4 linked regions of the Drosophila melanogaster genome follow. The protein of the gene in region 1 interacts with the protein of each later gene in a pairwise test. Each region holds a gene or a part of one and is shown in the gene's direction. Other genes may lie near its edges.

Region 1 (4,523 bases):
CGGAAAAACAAATTAAGGATGCGCAATCGACACGAAATAAAGACCCTAAAGAACTCAGTCAGCTACTTTATTACCCGGAGAGATATTGCCATCCCATCCCGGGAAAATTGGAAAGACCCCAGCTAACCTAATGACAGACCACCCGAACACCCTTACAAACGATATTACTACAGACTTTTACGACACTTTTCATTAGCAGCCACACTTGCTGTTGTCGCGGGTAGCCGGAAACTTTCTTTTGTATGTTGGAAATGTCTTGGACCTGGTGGCAGTGTCTTATTTTCCACACACCCCTAGTGGGAGTTATTAACCCTTAACCACACGTTACCATTTATAACCCGAACAAAGTGAACCGAGCGCGTTAAGCTGACAATGGCAACAAATTTTTTTCCTTTTGCCGTCTATTGTGCCCGGAAAATCTGGTGGCAGCCACCATTCAATTGTGGTTCTTTTCCTCTTTGTCTGCGGTTTATGGCTTTTAATTCGTTCTGAGCCTCGATTCTTAAGGGTGCCCAAGTGAATTTCGCACTGACATCAACGGATATTGTGTGATAATTGCCACAAGAAAAATATTCGACATTTTTAGAGCGTACATTTCGTTTGCATTTAAATGGGAAAATTAATTAATCATTTCAGATTTGTATTCATTTAAAACACTTCAATTGAGCAATATGAAAATTAACCGATCGAAAATGTATATTTTAAGTATCTTAAGTGGCTGATAAGTGCTGATAGATAGATACATATAAGTACTTTTGAGGTAGGTAGATTGATTACACATTTCTAGATGATAGCCGTATAAAAAAAAGGTATTAGATAGTTGGAGTGGGCAATTCGATTAATTTCTGATAAGACGTAGTTTTCAGCGGGTATATAAACTGATCTTCACTACTGGCCGAGAAAATATTATTAATTGGACAGTAAAATGAAAGCCATCACCGTTTGCCTTTTGGTTCTGGTTTCGGCCACCTGTCTGCTGACCACGCGGGTAAGATTTGCCAATTAAAAAAAAATTAACTTAAATATAATAAATATTTCTTTGTTTCAGGCCAATGCAATAGAATTGCTGGAGAACGAGAACTTCGACTATGATTTCGACTTTGAATCGGAATTGGAGCAGTTGCTGGATGAACTGGACAATGACACTGACTACATGGATGTGGAGGCACAGGGCTTTATTAGAACATGCCTTAAAATCCTTCGCAAGGCATTGAAAACGGTTCGAGGCACCAACTGTATTATCAAGGAGGTGACAAACATCCTTAGTTCATGCACCAGCTATGTGGATGCTATTGATGCCTGTGGCACTGCCATTCCCAAGGATGTGGCCAAGATTGTGGACTCCGTTAAGGAGATTATCAAAATCTGCGACGATATTTTGCATCTGCATTCGAAACTTTGTGCCACGGATAAGTCCGTGGGCTCGTCCATCAAAAACTCGGCCAAATGCTTCTGGAAATTGTTCAAGGCATCCATGAGGCTGACCCGAAAGATCAATAAAACCCTAAAACTGATTGCCAAATTGCCAGCCGATACCAGTTCCTGCTTCGTAAATGCCACCAATAAAGTTACAGCGTCCTTTAACTCTTTTCTGCCCAACATTGATGTCTGCATCGAGTCTATGTAAATATATTATTATTAAAAAATAAAAAACTCTTAAGCTTACAGCAGATTAGATTTCAATTCTCGAGCCTTTGTTCCCAACAACCTATGAACAATAATATAGTGATTTGATTGAAAATAAATTTTGTTTCATTATGATAAGATAACTTCAATTTCCAACTATGAGCCGAACTGAAGCGATTCGATTAAGATTCGTTAATAAATACAATCGGTATCTAGAGAGGGTTCTTGAACAGCTTTATACTGATATGGAAAATTAATTGTAATTAATTATAAATTGCAATTAAAGGGATTTAACTTACGTCTCTGAATTTATAATAATTTAGCATTTTTTAGCATTTAGCAAAAACAGATGTTAAGGTAACACTGAAAGAGCACTGTCAGAGTTGAAAATGTTCGTCATAAATTTAGAAATTATTTAGTTCGATTCGGGCACGACAGCACGAAACATGTCCCAGATAAACAATATATTCATTAAGCTGCGAGCTCGTCTGCGGGAGCGTGATATCAAGTTGTGGGAGGAGCCGTACTACTTCGAGGAGGTGGGCAGCATCGAGTCGGAGATGGACCGCCTGGCCAGGGACATCAGTGGCGAACTGGGCATCAGTGTGTCGGACTGCAGAATTGCCTTGGGCGAATTGCAAGATGGTGCCTTGCGGAAGCTGGCGGCTCGCCGAGAGTTCAATGACACCGGATTGGCCACGTTCAATGTGCGGTGTGTGGACAGCAAGGGTGGCACCGTGCAAATGCTGGAGATCAAGTGTTCGCTGGGTGGACTGGGCTCGGATCTGCAAGCTGAGGTGGCCAAGAAGTTGGATATCGTTGATTCCAGTCATGTGAAATGCATCTCCGGAGGACGCATCATCAATGGGCAGAAGACACTGGCCTCGCAGGGGCTCAAAACCAATCAGCACCTCATGGTGGTTGTGGGTGGAACTAATGAAGGTCAGGAGTTGCACGAACGTATCCAAAGGATTCGTGCGGACTTGGAGTTAGTTGCGGATGCAGATCGCTTTATGGAAATGGAGGATCAGGATGGACGTCCAATTTTCTTGCCACGCGAGGAAAATCGATCCCTATTGATGGCCATGAGCATGTACGAAGTGGCCAGAGTTGCCATGCATAAGGAGAACTTCGATGAGGCTCTACTCATCCTACTCGAGGCCGATGAACTCTTCTCCCAATGTGACTCAAAGCTCCTGGAAGGAGTGGATAACTATGCCTTAATCAATCTAGATATTGTTTGGTGCTATCTGCGCCTGAAGAACATCACCCAACTGCCAGATGCACAGCGACGTTTGGATATTTGCGAGAGGGGCTTTGTCAAGAGCTATGGCGAGCAGTTCATTCGATTGTTCTCGATTAAGGGTCCAAGTAGCCCGGAAAGAGCTTTGATCATGAGACTGCACCTGCTCCAAGGTGTGCTCCTCTTTCACCAAAATCGCCGGGATGAGGCCTACGAAAAACTGGAGGTGGCGACAAAGGACTTGTATGAGGTCAAGATGAATGACACTGAGCTAAGCACTCTCGTTGAAATGGGCTATGAGGAATCGGATGCCAGGTTGGCCTTGAGATCCTGTGCGGGCCAAGTGGATAGGGCCATTCAATATATCCAGGAACGCAGCGAGAGAATCAGTGAGGAGCGAAAGAACTCGGCTGCCGAGAGGCAAGTCAACCAAGAGATGATTTTCGCCGGTCAAGGAGGAGAATGGGTCAATCCACGCAGCATTATTAGGCTCATGGAAATGGGCTACGAAAGGCGTTTGGTTGTGGAGGCTCTGAAGAGGACCAAAAATAATCTCGATCGCAGTTTGGATCTACTGCAGCGTCATTCAGATGAACTTAGGGCCAATCTGCCGCCCATTCCTCCTGTCGATGAATCGTTACTTACTACTCTACAGCACCTTGGATTTTCGGAGATTTCCGCTCGAGATGCTTTGGAAACTACGGGCAACAGTTTCCATAAATCTCTGAAATTTCTATTGAAAAGTTTCCCCAACGAATCGGAATTACTTCATGTTATTGAAACCATGACAAAAGTTTTGGAGGTTCAAGAACCTACGAGCTCAACTAATGCGACTGCAAATAGCACCACCCCACTCGTAAACTTATCCAACAGCAAGGTGAACTTGCTCCAGACTGTCCTTAGCGAGGCCAAGTCGGAGATTGAGTCTTACAATGCCTTCAAGAGATTCAACGAGAACCTCGCCGAGAACAACAACCACTACTTAAACTTGCCCTTGGATCAGGAGGAGCAAATTCTGATCGAGTATAAACGTTTGCTCGAGGGCTAATAAGAAAAAAATAAGATTTTTTTTAAATATTTGTAAATCAAAAAACAGGCAATAAATAAGTACGTACAAATATTTATTGTTGCTTTGTTATATTTTTAACATCTTTTCTCACCATGTTACCATTTCATTTCACAGCCATTCCACTATAGTCTGAATGGTACCTTTTTGTGGCCAAAATTAATAACATAACAGCTAGTCAATTAAATAAAAAAAAAATAAAAAAAATCCAGCTTATAGTGCGTCCCTTCAAAAACTCAAATACTTATTGCCCAGCAAAGTATGCTATGCATTTTGGTTGCTGATGTGGCTGCTGCTATTTGCTCACTCATGTGCATAACGTCACAGTTTTTCACAATTTTGTGTATGTGTGTGTGTGCGCGTGCTCTTTGCGTGTGGCTGACTTTGTGAAAATTAATAAGTTTTCAGACCCTCTCGCCAATCTGCCAATGCCATGCGAAAGTTCTGCAGATGATGGCCAAATAATTTGTCGTCCTGTTTTGTGGCGTTATTTCCAAATCGTTAAACCTAAAATAAACTCCGCTCAGCTTATTTCACTCTTCCATTTCTTTCTTCATTTCGTGTTTTTTTTTTTTCGGTTTACGTTGA
Region 2 (6,855 bases), about 20 Mb from region 1:
CAATTTCTGATCGTCAATAATACTGTGTAATGACAGGCATGTCGCCAAACTAAACTGAGAATTGAATTTTAATGTAATGATGTTTTTTAAATCGTAATTTATTATTCGAATTTTTAAGTAGTTTTTTAAAAATCGATCAATAAAGATGCATATATATTTGTTCTTCTGAGTGGGTTAAACATAGCATTTTATTGCGGTTGATTTAAAACAAATTTTGATAAGTATACCTATTAAGTCACTTAATGTTTATATGCTCATCTACAATATTTATCATAACTTTAAAGAGGCAAATACAAGTTCTCAAGCTTTATTTCTTGAAAAACACCACCAAATAAGGACCTTCGCCCAAAGCAATACAATCCAACACAACCCCACAGGCCGTTGCAATGCGGCTGGCAGGCCGAATTGGCCACAACAATCCAGTTTTAGTGACCATTTGTGCATCGAGGCGAGTGGAGGAGCAACAGCAGGCGAGCATTGCGCAATTGTTTACAATTGGCGACGGAGAGCCAGGAAGCTGAGACAGAGAGAGAAAAAGCTGTGGCGGAGAGCCAAAGCTTTTCCGCAGCATCCTTTTCTCCCTGCTCCGCCCGCTCTCTTAATTTTCCATTTGTACATTGCCTGTGCGAAGAACGGATGCCGAATTTTCCAACACACCATTTCGGACCGAAGTAAACACGAAAACTAAGGAAAAAAAATTGTGAAAAATTCAAAATTACGAAATTACTCGCACTAAATTTAAATAATAAACGACTGGTGGAGCAAAATGCGGGTCGAGGAGGCGACCTATAGGCGCACCACGCGCGAGAAGATTGTGCTGCGAGGGAACACCACCATACGCACCGTGGACTCCACTTCCACATACCTGCCCGTGATGAGTCCTGCGGGGTGAGTGCTTCGCAACGGCAAAGGTCCAAAAGGGTGGGTGCCAGTTGGAGGCGCAAGGCGTGCCGAGACACTTGAGCGTTCCATGACTGTCGCCCCGCAATCGATTTTTATCTCGCGCTGCAGCTGATTTTTAGATACATATACAGATACTATATGTGTGTGCGCGCATCCGAAACGGCCTTCGCTTGTGGCTCACCTCCGGATTATCGGGTTCTGCCTACATGCACATTGAAATGTGGACGAACCACTTCAAGCCTCCTAATGGCGGTGCTCTCAAACGTATGCTATAGTTTCTGGGTCCTCGGGGGAGGCCAACTCAAGAACCGGCTTTCTTTGGCCGCATGCAAGCCTGCCATTAAATTACATTGCCGGCAGATTATTGGGAAACCACTGCCGTTTGAGTAAATAGTCGGGCATACGCGAGTGAGTGAACGCCTTGCTTTCCCCAGAAATCGATGAAATCTTGAGCCAGAAGCTAGCGTGCATTGACCACAGTCCAGCGCGTTGGGTAACCCGAGGAGTTGAGAGTGCTGTGGGCTTACATAGAAGCACGAATGTCCTTTAGACAATGAGGAAACTTCGATAAGCAACTAGACATTAGTAGAAATATTATATATTTCATTTATTTATATATTGTATATATTCTTTTTTTTACCTATCAATAGCTATATACAAGGAGCATATAAGCAGAACAAACATAAACCCATTAAACTGAAATCCATATATTTGAATTTCAATCAATATTTAGAAAGATGGCATTTCCTAGCTCCGATCGGCGATTTCTTTATTTTCCCCCAAGTCGAGATACTCTTTCCCCGTAATTTACCATGATTGAAACCGCCCCCCAAAGTAGCGCCCAAGCGAAACTTCCTTTAACCTCAATCCGCATTCACACGGACGCACACCAGGCAACTGGGAAAACTACCCGGTCCGGTCCGTTCCATACCGGAATGGTAGTGGTGGTCGGTTTGTTGTGGACGCGTCGTCCAGTCAAGCGGTCAGTTTCAGTTGGACTGCAACCCTCGAGTCGGCTGGTCGGGTCGCGTTTTCGAACTCCGAGTGCGAGCCAATCGAAGGCTCCAGGCGCAGACTGTCAGGTAGCAAAGTTTCCGCCCGAACATATCCGCGTGTGTTTTTAAATTAATAGTGAAGTGTCTGTGTCTCGTCCTAATCTGTGTGACGCCGGCACAGCGCCATGTTCAACACCAGTGCACAGAATTGGTTCGGCATGGGCCAGACAGCCGTGGATCCGAGCGGCGGAGTGGCCCAGTTGCTCAACAACAATTCGAGTCTCTACAATCAGCAGCAGCAGCAGGCGGCGGCGGCGCAACATTCCTTCATGCGCCAGCGATCGCTGACCAGCTCCAATCCCGTCCTGGGGCGTTCAAACGCCTTGGCCACGCGGCCCCAGTCGCCGCCCAACGTCCAGGTTGAGTACGAGGTGGCGGTACCCTTCGTTCCCACCTACCGGCACACTCCATACCACTCGCTCTGGGATCTGCACCAATGGTAAGAGCTAGTAGAGATCTGTGGGCACAAGAAATCCACTATAAATTGGATTACTTCCGCATTTGAATTCCTTGACCTGGCAGTTGGTAACTAGCTCGTTGGTTGGTCAACTATCAACCCAAAGTATTTCCTTTGTTGCATACAAGAAAGCCACCGGGTACCTTCTTGACCCCATCCAGTTTCCTTTCGCGAGTATATTTCTGCCAGTCATAATTGGCATTTTGCTGTAATTTGCATAGTACGAAATGTCTTGTGTTGTGCCAATGGGATTAGCATAAGCACCCCTTGGTGACACGATTTCAAGTGGCCCATCATAACTACGAGTCCAAGGAAATCCGCCATCACTGGACTTTCCCATGCCGGGGTTTTTCCACGCTCAATCCGGCCTTGTAACACTTTGCCAATCAATCAATTGCTCAGTTCAAATGCAAGTAATTCCTAGATTATGGCCCATTGATTTGTGCATAGTAATGGGAACAAATAGGCAGTGGCCTAGTTAACCGCTCCACTAATCATTCCCATCAGGAATCAGGAGCCGAGAATCAAAGAAATCGTGGGCGAGCACATGAAGGAAACATTAACCCAAATTCGAACGAGTACAGCCCGCAATATAAATACCAAGCGAATGTGCCAGGAGTCAGGCAATATGGTCGGGAATTATGGCTGTGCTGCTGCCAACTTAATTAGCCAGGCGTAAAATATATTGCGGCCCACTTTGCAGATCGAGATTTACATTGTTGCCGCCGGAATGCTCTCAAAGCCTTTAATGCCTCCAGATGACGCATGCAAAGTCGAAAACACGTCGAAAATACAATTCAAATGCGAATACAAAAGTTAACAATTGTCGCCGACACGTCAATAACCTGGCCAGGAGCCAACGAGTTTATTGACCCCACCTGCGGTTTGAATAGGCGCCCCCATGGGAGGCGCCACTAACTCTTCGTTTCCCGGAAATTCCCGAGCATTGTCTGCGGAGTGGCAGGGTAGGGTAGGACAGGGCAGGATGGGAGGGTCCTCCGCAAGGGCTAACTAATATTAGGCGGCTAGACACGAGGATTCCAACCGGTATATGTGTGTGCACACACCAGGACACGCGAGCCACTTGTCCGCGGCTGATAAAGCAAATGACCTTTGCGACATGGCCAAGTTGAATGGCAGCTCCATGGAGCCACCTAATAGTTATGGGTAGTTAGCTATGAGTTTTAAAAATGAGCCCATGGGTTTTGGTTTTGCGTTGTTTGGTGGCTCTTAATTATATCCTTATCAGTTATATGTTATGTTTTTTACAGATAAGGAGTTGTAATGAGATAGTTTGGGAATCCTTAAGTGGCTTCATTAGATTCGTATAGTATAGTTTCCCAAAACTTTCTCCCAAAAGATAAAGATAGAATTGACAATAACATCTTAAAGATACATCTCAAAATACCTAATTAAATACGAAAATATTTGGGTTTGGCACTAATGGCATTGATCATATTATGTTATTATAGGACAAGGCCTATTATCGATTCCTCTTTCCTGTTATAATATTTAGATCTTCTACTGGGTAAGAGCAATCAATGAATACCCTTTCCTTCTCCAGCTCTTCCACACCTCCGACAAGCCTGTCGCACATGGCCCGGATGATGGACTCCCTGATCCTCGACTCGCTATCCCCATTTGGCTTCACGAAGATCACGGCCACCAGTCGACCTTCCCGGAACGCCAGCTTGAAGAAGAGCTCGGAAGGCGGCCACTCCTCGACAGCAGAGCGCCACCGGCCCGTCAACAACCTGGGCTCTAATGCACCTGGGGGATTGGGCATTGGCGGAAGTGTTCCGTTGCGCAGCAAGCAGCGGCTACCCACGCAAGGTTGGTGCTCCGGGTGGCGGGGTTTCCTATATAATCATTAAAATGCAGTTTCCGCCGCAGAAGTGGCACCACAACCGCGAGCCAGTCAGACGGCCCAAATGCCATTTCCGTCGCAGCAGCAGGATAATCGGTGGGTGTCCTCCCTGCGTCGGCGGGATCCCGAGCTGCAGCCCACTTTACCCTCCATCAACAGCAATGCGAACAGCAGCAGCCTCAGCCAGAGCCACCACGGAAGTGCTGGGAACGTGGGATTGGCGGGCGCAGGAGCACCTACACCCGCCGCCAGCATGGGCACAATGCGCCTGGGGCGACCAGCAAGGGCATCCGCCATGACCGCCGCCTTGCGGAAGAGCCGATCCGTGGAGCGCCTGCGGGCCAGGAAGCTCAGCACAAACACCCAGCTTAACTTGAAGCACAAGCCGGTTAAGAAGAACTCGCTGGACGAAAACTCCAACTCGGATGACCAAGACGCCACCACATCCCTGGAAGACAACTCGCACGCCCAGTCCCTAGCCACCAGCCACAACACGCCCAAATGCTCACCGAAGACCAAGGCCAAGCACTTCTCGCCCTTGGGCTACGAGGTTCATCTGGTGGACACCCTGGAGAAGGACATTCTGCAGCGCCATCCGTGCATCAAGTGGACCGATGTGGCTGGGCTCAATGAGGCCAAGACAATACTCCAGGTGAGCTTTATGTTCTGAATCGGAACTTCCGATATGCACCCATACTAGTAAAATATATATATCTGTGACATCTATGACTAGAATAGGTTTAAAATTGAGGTCCACAAATATAAAAGTGCACCTCAGAGGCGTGCAGAAGACCTAAATTAAAAGTAGCTAACTTCATATGTATGTACATCTTTTTTTTACCCAAATAGGAAGCAGTGGTGCTTCCGGTAATCATGCCGGAGTTCTTCAAGGGAATCCGCCGGCCGTGGCGTGGAGTGTTGATGGTCGGTCCGCCGGGAACAGGCAAAACCATGCTGGCCAAGGCGGTGGCCACAGAATGTGGAACCACCTTCTTCAACGTGTCCTCCTCGACCCTGACCTCGAAATACCGAGGAGAGAGCGAGAAGCTGGTGCGTCTCCTGTTCGAGATGGCCCGATTTTATGCGCCCAGCACCATTTTCATCGACGAGATAGACGCCCTATGCGCCTCCAGGGGCAGTGACTCGGAGCACGAGGCCAGTCGGCGGTTCAAGGCCGAGCTGCTCATCCAAATGGACGGACTCAACGCAAGCATGCAGGAGGAGAAGGTGATCATGGTGCTGGCGGCCACCAATCACCCGTGGGACATCGATGAGGCTTTCCGGAGACGTTTTGAAAAGCGAATCTATATTCCTCTCCCAAACGGTAAGTGCGAGCCACTTCCTTTCCTGCAGTAAATAATAGTAATATTATGCTCCAGAGGGCACCCGATCGGCTCTCCTCAAGCTCTGCCTGAAGGACGTATGCCTGTCGCCCAGTCTGAACACCGGAATAATCGGCGACGAACTGCAGGGCTACTCGGGATCGGACATAAGCAACGTGTGCCGGGACGCCTCCATGATGGCCATGCGGCGCCTCATTTCCGGACGCACTCCCGATCAGATTAAGCAAATCCGACGCGAGGAGGTTGACCAGCCGATTACTTTGCAGGACTTCCAGGACGCCCGTCTGCGCACCAAGAAGTCCGTCTCTGCCGATGACGTTGCCCGCTTCGAAAAGTGGATGGAGGAATACGGGTCGTGCTAGTTGTACGGGCTGCTGGCCCAGCACCCTCGATAATGATCGTATCCCATGTGTACTTCCCGATCACAATTATTTGTAACCTGTATAAATCGTACTCGTTAGCCGTAATGTTTTGTTTTATATACGCTTAATTGCTCAAGTGCCCCACGCCCAGCATTGCTCCTCTATGTACGTGCACACGGTAATCTGATATCTTATAAATACATAATATATATATATATATTTAATTTGTAATATTTATTCAAAGGAATCCTACTGTAGGCTTATAGCAACATAATGTATTTTGTAATCAACATATTTGAAAACAGAGAAACGAAATAAATTAATCAACACCTTTTGGATCCACAGAACCTACGAGGCCCTCAACTTGGCAATGGTGCTCTGGTACTCCTGCTCGACCACGCGGTATTCCTCATGCAGCTGCTCCATTCGTTGTTGAACCGTTGGCAGGCGAGCACGCAGCATTTCAGTGTCCATCTTGAAGCGCTCCATTTTCTTCAAATCCTTTAACTGCTTGTAATAGACCGCGTTAAGCCGTTTCTTAACTTCCAGACGATAGGGTCGGTACTCCTTTTCATCCTTCACATTGGTGTAGAATAAACGCAAAAGCTCGTACACCTTACGCACCTGGAGGGGATTGAGTTTCAGAGCCTCGCGAGCTTCCCGCACCATCTCCTTGTTGAAGCCCTTGACTATCTCGCCTGGTGCAAACGACTTCAATTTCATGCAAGATCGCGCGTCCACAAAATTCCTCAAACGCTGGAAATCCTCAGATGGATCCTCCACTGTTATGTCCACAACATTCTTCTGTGACTGATAAAACCTGTAAATGCTCTCGACCAATTGGGTAGCCAAGCCGAGTTTCTGGAAA
Region 3 (5,103 bases), on another chromosome or scaffold:
TAAAGAAGATTATTATTTTATTAATGGAAAAGATATCCTAGAAAAAAGCATTGTACCCGTATTTAATTAAATAGAATTTTGAGATAAAAAAGAAAACAAAACATTTTTCTTAAACTTTTTATCGGAGTTGCCTACCTCATTTTATTTCCGGTCCTAAAGCAATTTATTAAAATGCGAAGATTTTCGCTTCTATGAATCTATTAGCGGTGGTCAGGTTTTTCAAGCTCTACATTAATGAATTTAGTGACCAGAAACATTGCAGAACTCACAGGTCGCAGGGCTGAGGCTTGAGGCAAGAAGGACAGACCTACACAAATCAGATGTTCTGCTACTTTGCACCTGGTTGACTGACGCATAGCTTGTTACGGCTGCGTCCTGCAACACTGCTCCAGAAACGATGCCATGTTGGAATTGAATTCTTTAAGACTGGTTCTCCAAATGCTGCTCCCATTTCGCCAGACTTTCCGGATCCAGCTTTTGGATAAGTACTTGGGCGATAATTCATCCAACGATTTGTGTCGTTGAGCCCATTCCATTTAGCGCGCGAATATGAGCGTTGAATTTATCACACAGTTTACAAAGCATTGAAACGGAACCATTCTGAACTGCCCTTGCCCTAGAATCTCAGTAATGTGTGCCTGGAATATTAAACAAACAGACAAATTCAATGCTATAGCATAGTTGCCATCCGATATTTCAAGTGCAGTGTCCCTCAGACATGTTCTTAGATGCTGCAACTTTTCTATGTTTGTTAGTTCAGGATGGCTATCTATTATCGTAGTAAACATAGAATAGAAGTCCAGCCAGATAGCTCGCCCAAGAGGGGGCAGCGACGTCCTATGCCGGAGTGCTACTTAATTGAAGTGTTAAAGCTTTAAACAGCTTTGCGAGCTTGTTGCAAATTATTGTTTATTAGCTGTTTTTGAGCAATGAAAAGACGAGTTTTGTGTAGCGATTTTGAACGATATGTTTAATAATAGCCGACATGTAAAAAAGATTTTGTCAAAACTTATACATGAGAAATGTTGTGTAAATTTTTGAGAAATTAATTGAAAAATGGTAACATTAAGGACAGTTGTTGAAATTAGGTACAATATTACCATTTGTAAGCGTATGTAAAACGAGCGGTAGAATAACAGTATATTATCGTATCATACGTTGAACGAACTGAGAGGCAGTTCAGTCGCGTAAAGTCAAAGCCAAGAATGTAGAAGGAAGCACATTGCCGCGCGGAGTCGCAATAAACAATCGGATGTCATCAAAAAAAGTGCAACCTGCAAAAACAATATATGGCAGTTAAGCATCTAATTATTCTTTATTATTCTTTGAACGAGCCGTATTCGGTAAGGAGAACCCGGTTTTCAATTAATAACGCCGAGTAAAATAAACTGTTTTAGTTATTTTATATTTATATTTTTTTATTTACCCGTTATTCAGCTAATGCCAGCTTTTGGCATAAATATTAATAAAATGAAAAATTGTTTGGCAGTTTAGGCGTAATGCGACAGTAGGTAAAATGTGCCTGTCATACCGTAAAAACAAGCGAGACAGATAATTGTTTTTATGAATTATTACAGTTTTTTGGTTTGGGTAAACCAAAAATTTGCAATTGTAAACTTATCAAGTTACTTTTACGCATGGGGTCAATCAGATACCTTTAATTTAAAAAATTGTAATATGGTGATAAAATGAATAACTTCATTTAAAAAGATTTTAAAATTTGTTTAATTTACATTATGTTGTGCTAAATCTTGAAACGGCTTGACTTAGAAAGTCTTTACCAAACTTCGGTCTTTGAAGTTAAATTAAATTATATAATTTCGAAGAAATTATTAGTCTTTTCCAAAATCCCACTCATTCCGCACATGACAAAAATCGTTACATGTCACAACACTGTTGATGTACGGTATAAGTGGATATACAAACAAATGAATGTTTTGTGCATCAAAGGTTCCTGAGTGATATTTTGCTTTATGTGTTGTTTTATTTTAATCATAGCAAATCGACAAGATAAAAGTAATGTAAGTTTCACAGGAACTGATAAATGAAATTCACACATATCTAACGTGGGAATTGATCAATTAATTATAAATATGGAATGTAAGAACATATGTATGTTCATATTTATAAACGTTAATCAGATAAAAATTTGAGATATGTGATAAAAATAATTATATGTGAAAACTTATCTGTACATATTGAACTTCATGTATTCAATCTCCTTGGATTGAATTTGTATGAGCGTACAAAAACACTATAAGAATATTAATTAGGAGTGAATCTGATATCACCAAAAATACATACATACGTAATTGCATACAATCTTAAAGATTTGTTGGAGAATATATTATAGGGAAGGAAGCGTTTCCCTAATGCATAAAGTATTTAAGCATATGTATATAAATAACTATATTATTGATCAGGATTACTAGACAAGTCGATCTGGCCATGGGCTTGCTTCAGTTATATGATTTTCGAATTTTTTTTTTATGAATAGTTCGTCGGTGCTGTAGCAACTTTTCATTTATTTTCTATTAACTTTAACAGTAAAGTTGAATCAATACGAAATTTTGGTTAGTATAAAAATTACATTTAAACCAAGACTGCATCACTACTTTTCTTTTAAAAGGTAATATGCAGGCTTAACTCAATGAAGGCGGCGCAAGCCGCTTTTACACTAGCATATTGTTAATTCACACAATGTAAAGTTTACTTTAACTTACTTCACTACATCCTTTAGTCATTCAGACTATACGCTATTTGTTATACTCGTTATACCCGTAGAGTAACAGGGTTCCTAGATCCGTTGAAAACTATGTAGCAGGAGGAAGGAAGCGTTTCCGACTATATAAAGTATATACAAACATATGTAAATACATATATTCTTGATCGAGACAATCTGACCATGTCCGTCTGTCCATATCAGCATCAAGATCAGCCAAAATGTTGAGATTCAGCATACAGATTCTAAAAACATAGACGCAGCGCAAGTTTGTGACCCATGTTGCCACGCAAACTCTAACGCCCACACACCACACAAAACTGTCAAGCCCACACTTTTAAAAAATGTGTTGATATTTTTTCACATTTTTTTTAGTCTTGTAAATTTCTATCGATTTACAAAAAAAAAATTTCTAACGCCCTTAAACCGCCAAAAACTGCCACGCCCACATTTTTGAACAAATTTCTGGATATTTTTCAATAATTTAATTAGTCTTGTAAATTTGTATCGATATGCCAAAAAACTTTTTGCCACGCCTAATCTAACGCCCTAAAACTTCCCCAAACTGTCACGCCCACACTTTAAAAAAATGTTTAGATTTTTTTTCATTTTTGTTTGTCTTGCCAATTTTTTATCGGTATACCAAAAACACCGTAACCACGCCTCCCCTTTTACCAACAAAACGGTCACGCCCACACTTTTAAACCATTTTTAAATCCTTTTTATTTTATCTTTATCTATCGATATCCCAAAAAATGTATGCAATTTTACGTTCGACTACAGCATTCTGTTTTGTTTTTCTCTCGATTTTTTGGTGCTGGCTCTAGAGATGGCTCCAGGCTCTCTCGAATGTTTGTTTAAGAGCCAGAGTGCGGAAAGATATACAGCCAGCTGCCCTCTTCGGCTGTCACTGTATGCGTAAGAATAAAGGAGACAATGATTGTTGGGTGCTTATGTTCGCACTTCGTGTCTCAAGAAATCATTTTTGCAATAAACAGTCAACGTATTTTTATATATTGTATATACAGTTTGTCAAGAAACTGTTTACACACTGTGAAATAAGTTGAATTTTTGACCTTAAAGGTAAAAATGTTCAAACGCTATTTTTTTATGAAATATATTTTTGTTTTACTTATAAATCAAAAAACAAATTATAAATATTAAATATAAAGAAAAGAATTTTGAGACTGTCAAGAAACTCTACGTTTTCTTTATGTGTTTAATGTATGTATGTATGTTTTTATTATTATTTAGAAATTTATTTTTTGAAATGTAATTTTTTTTTTAAATATTTCACATTGCAACTTTAAAAATTGATGTCGCAAAAGATGTCGTCAGTCCCGTTTTACATATTATTAATTATAAACACAAATTAAGATATGAAACATTTATATGAAACACTTTAAAAATCTAATAGTCAAGGCATACATGTTTAAATATTATTTGAGTAGATCATTTTGCAACGAAATTGCCCGAAACTCTAAATATGTTATATCGGATCTTAGATCAAAATTGATTTCTGCCCGAAAATCGTCTTCTAGCACAAGTACGCACACATACAAACATTCTCCAAAGACGCTAGTTATTCTAGTGTCTTTGCTTTCTCGTTTATTCTTTTAGCACACACAAGCAAGTGTATTATTTTTTTCGATTTTATACCGCTCTCAATTTTACTCAAGCGGAGAGAGAGCAATTTTGACCGTCAACAAAAAAGTGGCTGCATAGTGCAAAACCAATGAATGGCCGTTACGCATCTTGTAATTCTATTGTCTTTGCTTTAACTCGGTCTGTGAAATCAAAACAATAAGGAATTCAATAAGACAACTAGCTGTACAAGCTTTAGGAATGATACGAATAAAAGTGGTTGGCACGCTTTAAATAGCTTTTATGTCGAAATTTTTTTTTTTCGATTTTCCTTTTACTTGAAATCGATCGATACGCTAACTAAGTTTTGAAATATCTTCTTGCCTCGCATCTAAATATCGGATTCCTGGTTGTCTTGATAATCTGTGATTGTTCTGATTATTATATGATTAATATAATACTATATATATATATATATATATATATATACAGTATTGCTAGTATGTTTTCACATTAGTAAAAAAATATATCTTCATAATGTACTACCATAAGTAATAAATATTCAAATTTGCTTATATTCGATTCTTAAGTTTGAAAGCATTGGAAAAACAGTTTATATAAAACACGAAAAGAGACAGAAAAGAATCGCGTGGCGTTTTTGTTTCGCATGCTATATTAAGTCGTAAAGATCGATAAAGTTTTCTTGTGTATTATAAATTTTGTGGCTGTTTTCAAATTATGGTTTGTATTTTGCAAGTAAGTAACAATATATTAATTAAATCAATACATATTTCGTG
Region 4 (5,118 bases), on another chromosome or scaffold:
AATGCTGATTGCCATTTATAGATTATGTGCATAAATCAGGAAAAAAGCTAGCTATTACTTTGGGGGCTATGAGCCATGGAAAAGTTGCAAAACATTTTGCCAATCATAATTTTATCCATCACTCTTCTCTAACGCTAATTGTCATGGCCGGGGCGTAAATTATTAAATAAGAAAAGCAACCCAAAAACAACACTAAAACTTGCCAGAGATAAAAAAAAAAACAAATTGAAGAAATTCAAAATATTGCAAAAACAAAAAAACCAGAGGAGAAAAATTAAATAAAATGCCTGTACAGATGGGTCGACCCAACAAGAGCGTGAAGCTCATTATGAAGCTTCGTGTCCAAAACGCGGACAGCAATTACAAAAGCAACATAGCCAGTAAAACAATAACAATAACAGTAACAATAATAATAACAACAAGCCAGGCCAAGTCAACTCAAGCCAACACACAACACAACCCAAAACACCGAAAGAAGCTGGCTAACAAAAGGCCGAAAGAGCATGAAGAAATGAAATAAAACCAACACCAGATTCAGTCCCACTCCAGAGCACAAAACAAAGCTTAGCCCCATCCCATCTGATCCCAAACCATACCATACCATACTATACCAACCCATTCCCCAAAACGGCTGGCTAAATGAGAGTGAATCCACATTCATTGAAATTGAAAGTGAATCGTGCCACACGATCCGATCCAGAGTCCAGACTTGGTTACGAGTCCACTGCGATTGGATCCTCTAAATGACCAAAATAACAATTTACACACATTAGCTACATATATATAATAAAGCACATATATATATATATTTATATATAAATAACAGAAATCAGAGATTTTAGGAAAAACCATGTTTCTTTGGCAATCAGTTCGAAGGAGTTGTACTCTACAGCGAATCTATACAAATGTTTTAAATGGGCGAGGGAAAAAAATGCACAAGACATATTTATAAATTAAATATTACAAAATATGACTTGCCTTTAATAATTAAACTATCTAAGCTAAGAGAGGCATTTTCTTTTAATGATAAAAGAACAAAAGGCGTGATAAATTAATAATAAGAGAACAGATATTCTCAGATATTCTTAAATTAAGCAGGAAATCGTTAAAGCTGAGGTTACCGCAAAAAAGGCTTTTATTTTCTTGCCTTGAAAATAATGGACCCTTGAAATAAGCTACATTCCAGCAGCTAAGTGTCTTCAGAAATAAAAACCATAAAAAACTATTTGATGGCCTTGCTGCCTCAAGCTTTATTTTACATACATACACTGCACCTTTCAGGTTCCTTATTTTCCCCATGAAAATAATCCTAGTTGGGCAGAAAAACAGAAAAAAAAAAACAACCAACCACATGCTCGAAAAACCACGAAAAAGAAGTAGTTAATCGAAGGAGGAAAGCCAAAGCCAAGAAACGGTCAGCAGACGTTGCAGTTTCGGTTGGCTTTGCGGTCGCCGTTTGCATCGCAGCCAGGAGCTGCAGCCTCAGTTTCCCCACCAGATCATGACTGGCCAAACTTTGGACTTGGCTTAAACATTTCAATTTCTTCATGGCTACATGCTGCTGCCGCTCTTTGCCAACTGCTCAGCCAACTTGGCCGACTGCTCGGTCGACTGCGGCAGCAGCTGAGGCAGCTGAGGCGGCTAAAGCAGCAGCGGTCTTGATCGTCGTCTTGAATTTTACTTAATTTTTATTTCACGCGCTGCGCTGCTATAAAAGAAACTGCAACAATCGTTGTGGCATGCAGTAAGAGGTTCCGCGTCGAAGCAGCACCACATTGCCAGTAACCAGTAACCAGTAACAGCCAGTAGCACCTAGCCACCTGGAGCAGTGACAAAACCCGAAACGGATATACCCGAAATAAGCCACCCGAAAATGCATTCCAGTTGTGTGGTATGATCTTGTGACCAAACCGACCAAGTGGCCGTGATGGACATCGCTTAATGGTGTGTTCTCCTCCGATCTCGTTCGCAGTTAGTGGTCCTCATGGCCCTGGCTGCCCTGGTGGCCGCTCGTCCAGAGCCGCCTCGTGACTCGTACAGTGCGCCCCCCTCCAGCAGCTACCAGCCAAGTGGACCCAGCGGAGGCTACGGCGCCCCTGCGCCCCAGTACGGACCTCCCCAGCAGGCGCCGGTGATTCACAAGCACGTCTACGTCCATGTACCTCCACCAGAGCCGGAATACCAGGCACCCAGGTGAGTGGCAGGATCAAGGATCCTCTAAGCCAACATAAGTTCCAAAGATCGCGAGTAGAATAGGGTTCCCAATAAACCTATTCTTCAACCAAGTTCCGGAAAAGGATCTATGCATACTCGTTTAAAATTTTTGTCTATACTAGATGATAATTATATCAGACCTAAAAATGGAAAAAATCTTTAAAAATGTTATTTTAGACACATTCAGTTTAATCACAAAAGATACGTATTTAAGAGTTTAAGTAATAGTAAAATTATTTATTTTGCATAGTTTCACAAAATAGAAATCGCACTACACTCCCAACACAGTGAGTGAGTGAACAATCGAGAATTTCTTCTGATAAGCCGTACAATATAAACGTACATCCTGCGGTTTTTTTCATTTCACAACGTAATCAGTTCAAATTATTCACACCCCTTATCCAGCACACTTTTTTTTCGACTTGCGTGATTGTGAGCGGTTACAAACGATCTCGCTTTATTTGTCTTGTTCCACTTAAGATTGGAAAAATATGGGGAAAAAACACATTGTTGTGTTATGAGTATATAATCCAAGGCACTTATGCAGATTCTCTCACAATTCATCGGCGTAAACCAGGCAGTGCCGTCAACTCCCAAAGATAATAACTAGACAAATGTTGCAAGAGACCAGCCGGCAATCATCTAATCCAGCTCAGGGCCCTTTTCCACAGCTGTTGCCACATTTCCAGGGTATTTAGAGGGTCGCTTAAACGGAGGAGGAACATTATTTAATACCCGCGAAAACGAAAGCCATCCAACTTTCCTCTCTTTTCGCTGATACAATGTTTTCTGTCGTCTTCTGTCTGTTTTCAATTGGAGTTGGAAGCGATGTTAATTACCACGAGAGGGGAATGATATGGCTTTGCAGACCGCCAAACCGTGACTAAAACGTTACCTAAGCTCGCCGCAGCACTTGTACTCGTATATATCTCAGTACCATTTCCAAGCAAATTATCAGGCGCAGAGGGACAGGAACTCGATTACCATAGGTAGCTTTATGTAAACCCTCGTCTCGAGGCGGTTGTTGTGACAATCGCTGTCATCGTCACAATAGTCATCATCTTCATCTGATTAGTAAAACTGACAAGCAGCTGCAGTGGGTTCAACGTTGTCGGGAGGTCACCATTTTCGGGAGGTCACCATTTATGGGCATGCCATTTGCATGCACCTCAAAGAGAAACTCCTTTCTCCCGCATCGCGGTATTTGTTCGTTCAACAAGGCAAGGTTATAGGAAGTGTGGAAAGTCATTCCAGCCTGGCCGTGTGTAATTGAAATTTTTTTATTCAGTATGTAAATTTTTACAAGCCGGAAGCAAAAAAAGTTGCGTTATATGAGGATGTGGTGTCTTACTTTACCCATAGAATTCCTAAGAAATTCCTTAAATACAGATATAGCAGAACCTTTATTTAAATACATTTTTAAATATTTTCCCAGGAAACCCCTTTACGTGCCACCTCCGCAGAAGCACTACAAGATCGTCTTCATCAAGGCGCCATCTCCACCAGTACCGACCGCCCCTGTAATACCGCAGTTCCCACAGAACGAAGAGAAGACCCTGGTGTACGTGCTAGTCAAGAAGCCGGAGGAGCAGCCGGAGATCATTATCCCAACGCCAGCTCCCACCCAACCCAGCAAGCCGGAGGTGTACTTCATCCGCTACAAGACCCAGAAGGAGGAGACCGGACCCTATCCCAACAGTGTGGCGCCTCCAGCGCCCGAGTACGGAGCTCCAGCTGCCCCGCCCGCACCCTCTGCTCCCAGCAGCTCGTATGGGGCACCATCCCACTAGGCGATCCAGTCCAACCCGAATACCGATTTGCTTATCTCAACCCAACTCATGGCAAACTGCATATCTTATGTGTATTGTATTATTTTCTGTTTCAAGGACCTTAACGCGTGACAAAGTTTACCAAGCAACGAATCTCCCCCATCCCCTCTCCACACCCAGCTCATAGGATTATTACTCCTATAGATGAGTAATTCTTATCTCTGATGTTGTTTCTACCTGATGTACGAGAAGTATGTTTTCCATCTAGGCTGTTTGTTTCAAATTGTTTGTTTAGTCTTAAGTCTAGGTCTTTAAGCGAACGATGCGTTATACACTCACACAAAACACTCGAAACACTCACTGCGAGCTAGCCTTAGTTATCGATAGAGATATCGATCCTGATACCGATTAACGATATATACGTGGTACATGATTTTCATCACAAACGCATTTTCAAGTAGGCAATTTATTCCAATTTCATATTGCACATTTCGCACACGATTTGTCATTAAATAGAATGTGCGAAGCACTCGAAATGCAACAAAAAAAAATGAAGATTAAAATGATACTCAAGTATATAATGTTAAAAACACAAAACATCAATGGCTAAATAAAAGTTTAACGAATTATCTGTACAAGATGGATTTCTTTTTGTATGTTTCACATTGCAAGTCTTAACATATGTGTACATATATTTATATATATCTGTTTACTATACATTTTCATTTGCCTCGCAAATGTATTTGAAATCAGAAGTACAAGAAGCAACCCACATGCCACCGTTATGTATAGAAACGCAACGCTGATCTACATGTTCGTATAGTGGCTCTCCAGGATTCCATTTCAAAAAAGGTGCTCTCTTTCCGGAGGACACAGATATGAAAACGCCCTTTTCAGCCAGATCACTAATGCCAATCATATAAGTGTTGTCTTTGCTTAGTTGCGAAACGATAGCATTAAAGTCTGCTTCATTTATAATTGAGGCTAGATTACCTCCCATCTTTTGACATGCGCTCAAAGCACTGGTCCAATTTTGTTGGACTATGTCTTCGATGTGCAAATATCTCGATCCGATTCGCTTGAACCTATGTAAAATATTTATTTTCGCAGACATATTCTTCAGCGACGTCGTTAT

The links.
Region 2: the proteins of CG5111 (region 1) and kat-60L1 interact in a two-hybrid assay, tested with the Drosophila melanogaster proteins (one large-scale study listed by BioGRID).
Region 3: the proteins of CG5111 (region 1) and gus interact in a two-hybrid assay, tested with the Drosophila melanogaster proteins (one large-scale study listed by BioGRID).
Region 4: the proteins of CG5111 (region 1) and TwdlE interact in a two-hybrid assay, tested with the Drosophila melanogaster proteins (one large-scale study listed by BioGRID).

Annotation. Positions count from the first base shown.
Region 1 is NT_033777.3:25,504,292-25,508,814, forward strand, and holds CG5111 (uncharacterized protein), read left to right. Parts: upstream 1-1,983; 5' UTR 1,984-2,072; coding exon 2,073-3,917; 3' UTR 3,918-3,988; downstream 3,989-4,523. Other genes in the region: CG5107 (uncharacterized protein), read left to right, coding at 926-988, 1,049-1,627.
Region 2 is NT_033777.3:5,781,134-5,787,988, forward strand, and holds kat-60L1 (katanin p60-like 1), read left to right. Parts: upstream 1-1,971; 5' UTR 1,972-2,083; coding exon 2,084-2,397; intron 2,398-3,979; coding exon 3,980-4,248; intron 4,249-4,296; coding exon 4,297-4,934; intron 4,935-5,131; coding exon 5,132-5,606; intron 5,607-5,661; coding exon 5,662-5,987; 3' UTR 5,988-6,332; downstream 6,333-6,855. Other genes in the region: Hat1 (histone acetyltransferase 1), read right to left, coding at 6,336-6,855.
Region 3 is NT_033778.4:5,125,144-5,130,246, reverse strand, and holds the start of gus (gustavus), read left to right. Parts: upstream 1-1,925; 5' UTR 1,926-2,021; intron 2,022-2,723; exon of another isoform or gene 2,724-2,844; intron 2,845-2,904; exon of another isoform or gene 2,905-2,998; intron 2,999-5,103. UniProt on the Drosophila melanogaster protein: Involved in the localization of vas to the posterior pole of the oocyte. Required maternally in the germ line for efficient primordial germ cell formation.
Region 4 is NT_033779.5:7,857,456-7,862,573, reverse strand, and holds TwdlE (TweedleE), read left to right. Parts: upstream 1-1,734; 5' UTR 1,735-1,873; coding exon 1,874-1,891; intron 1,892-1,972; coding exon 1,973-2,193; intron 2,194-2,453; exon of another isoform or gene 2,454-3,649; coding exon 3,650-4,004; 3' UTR 4,005-4,617; downstream 4,618-5,118.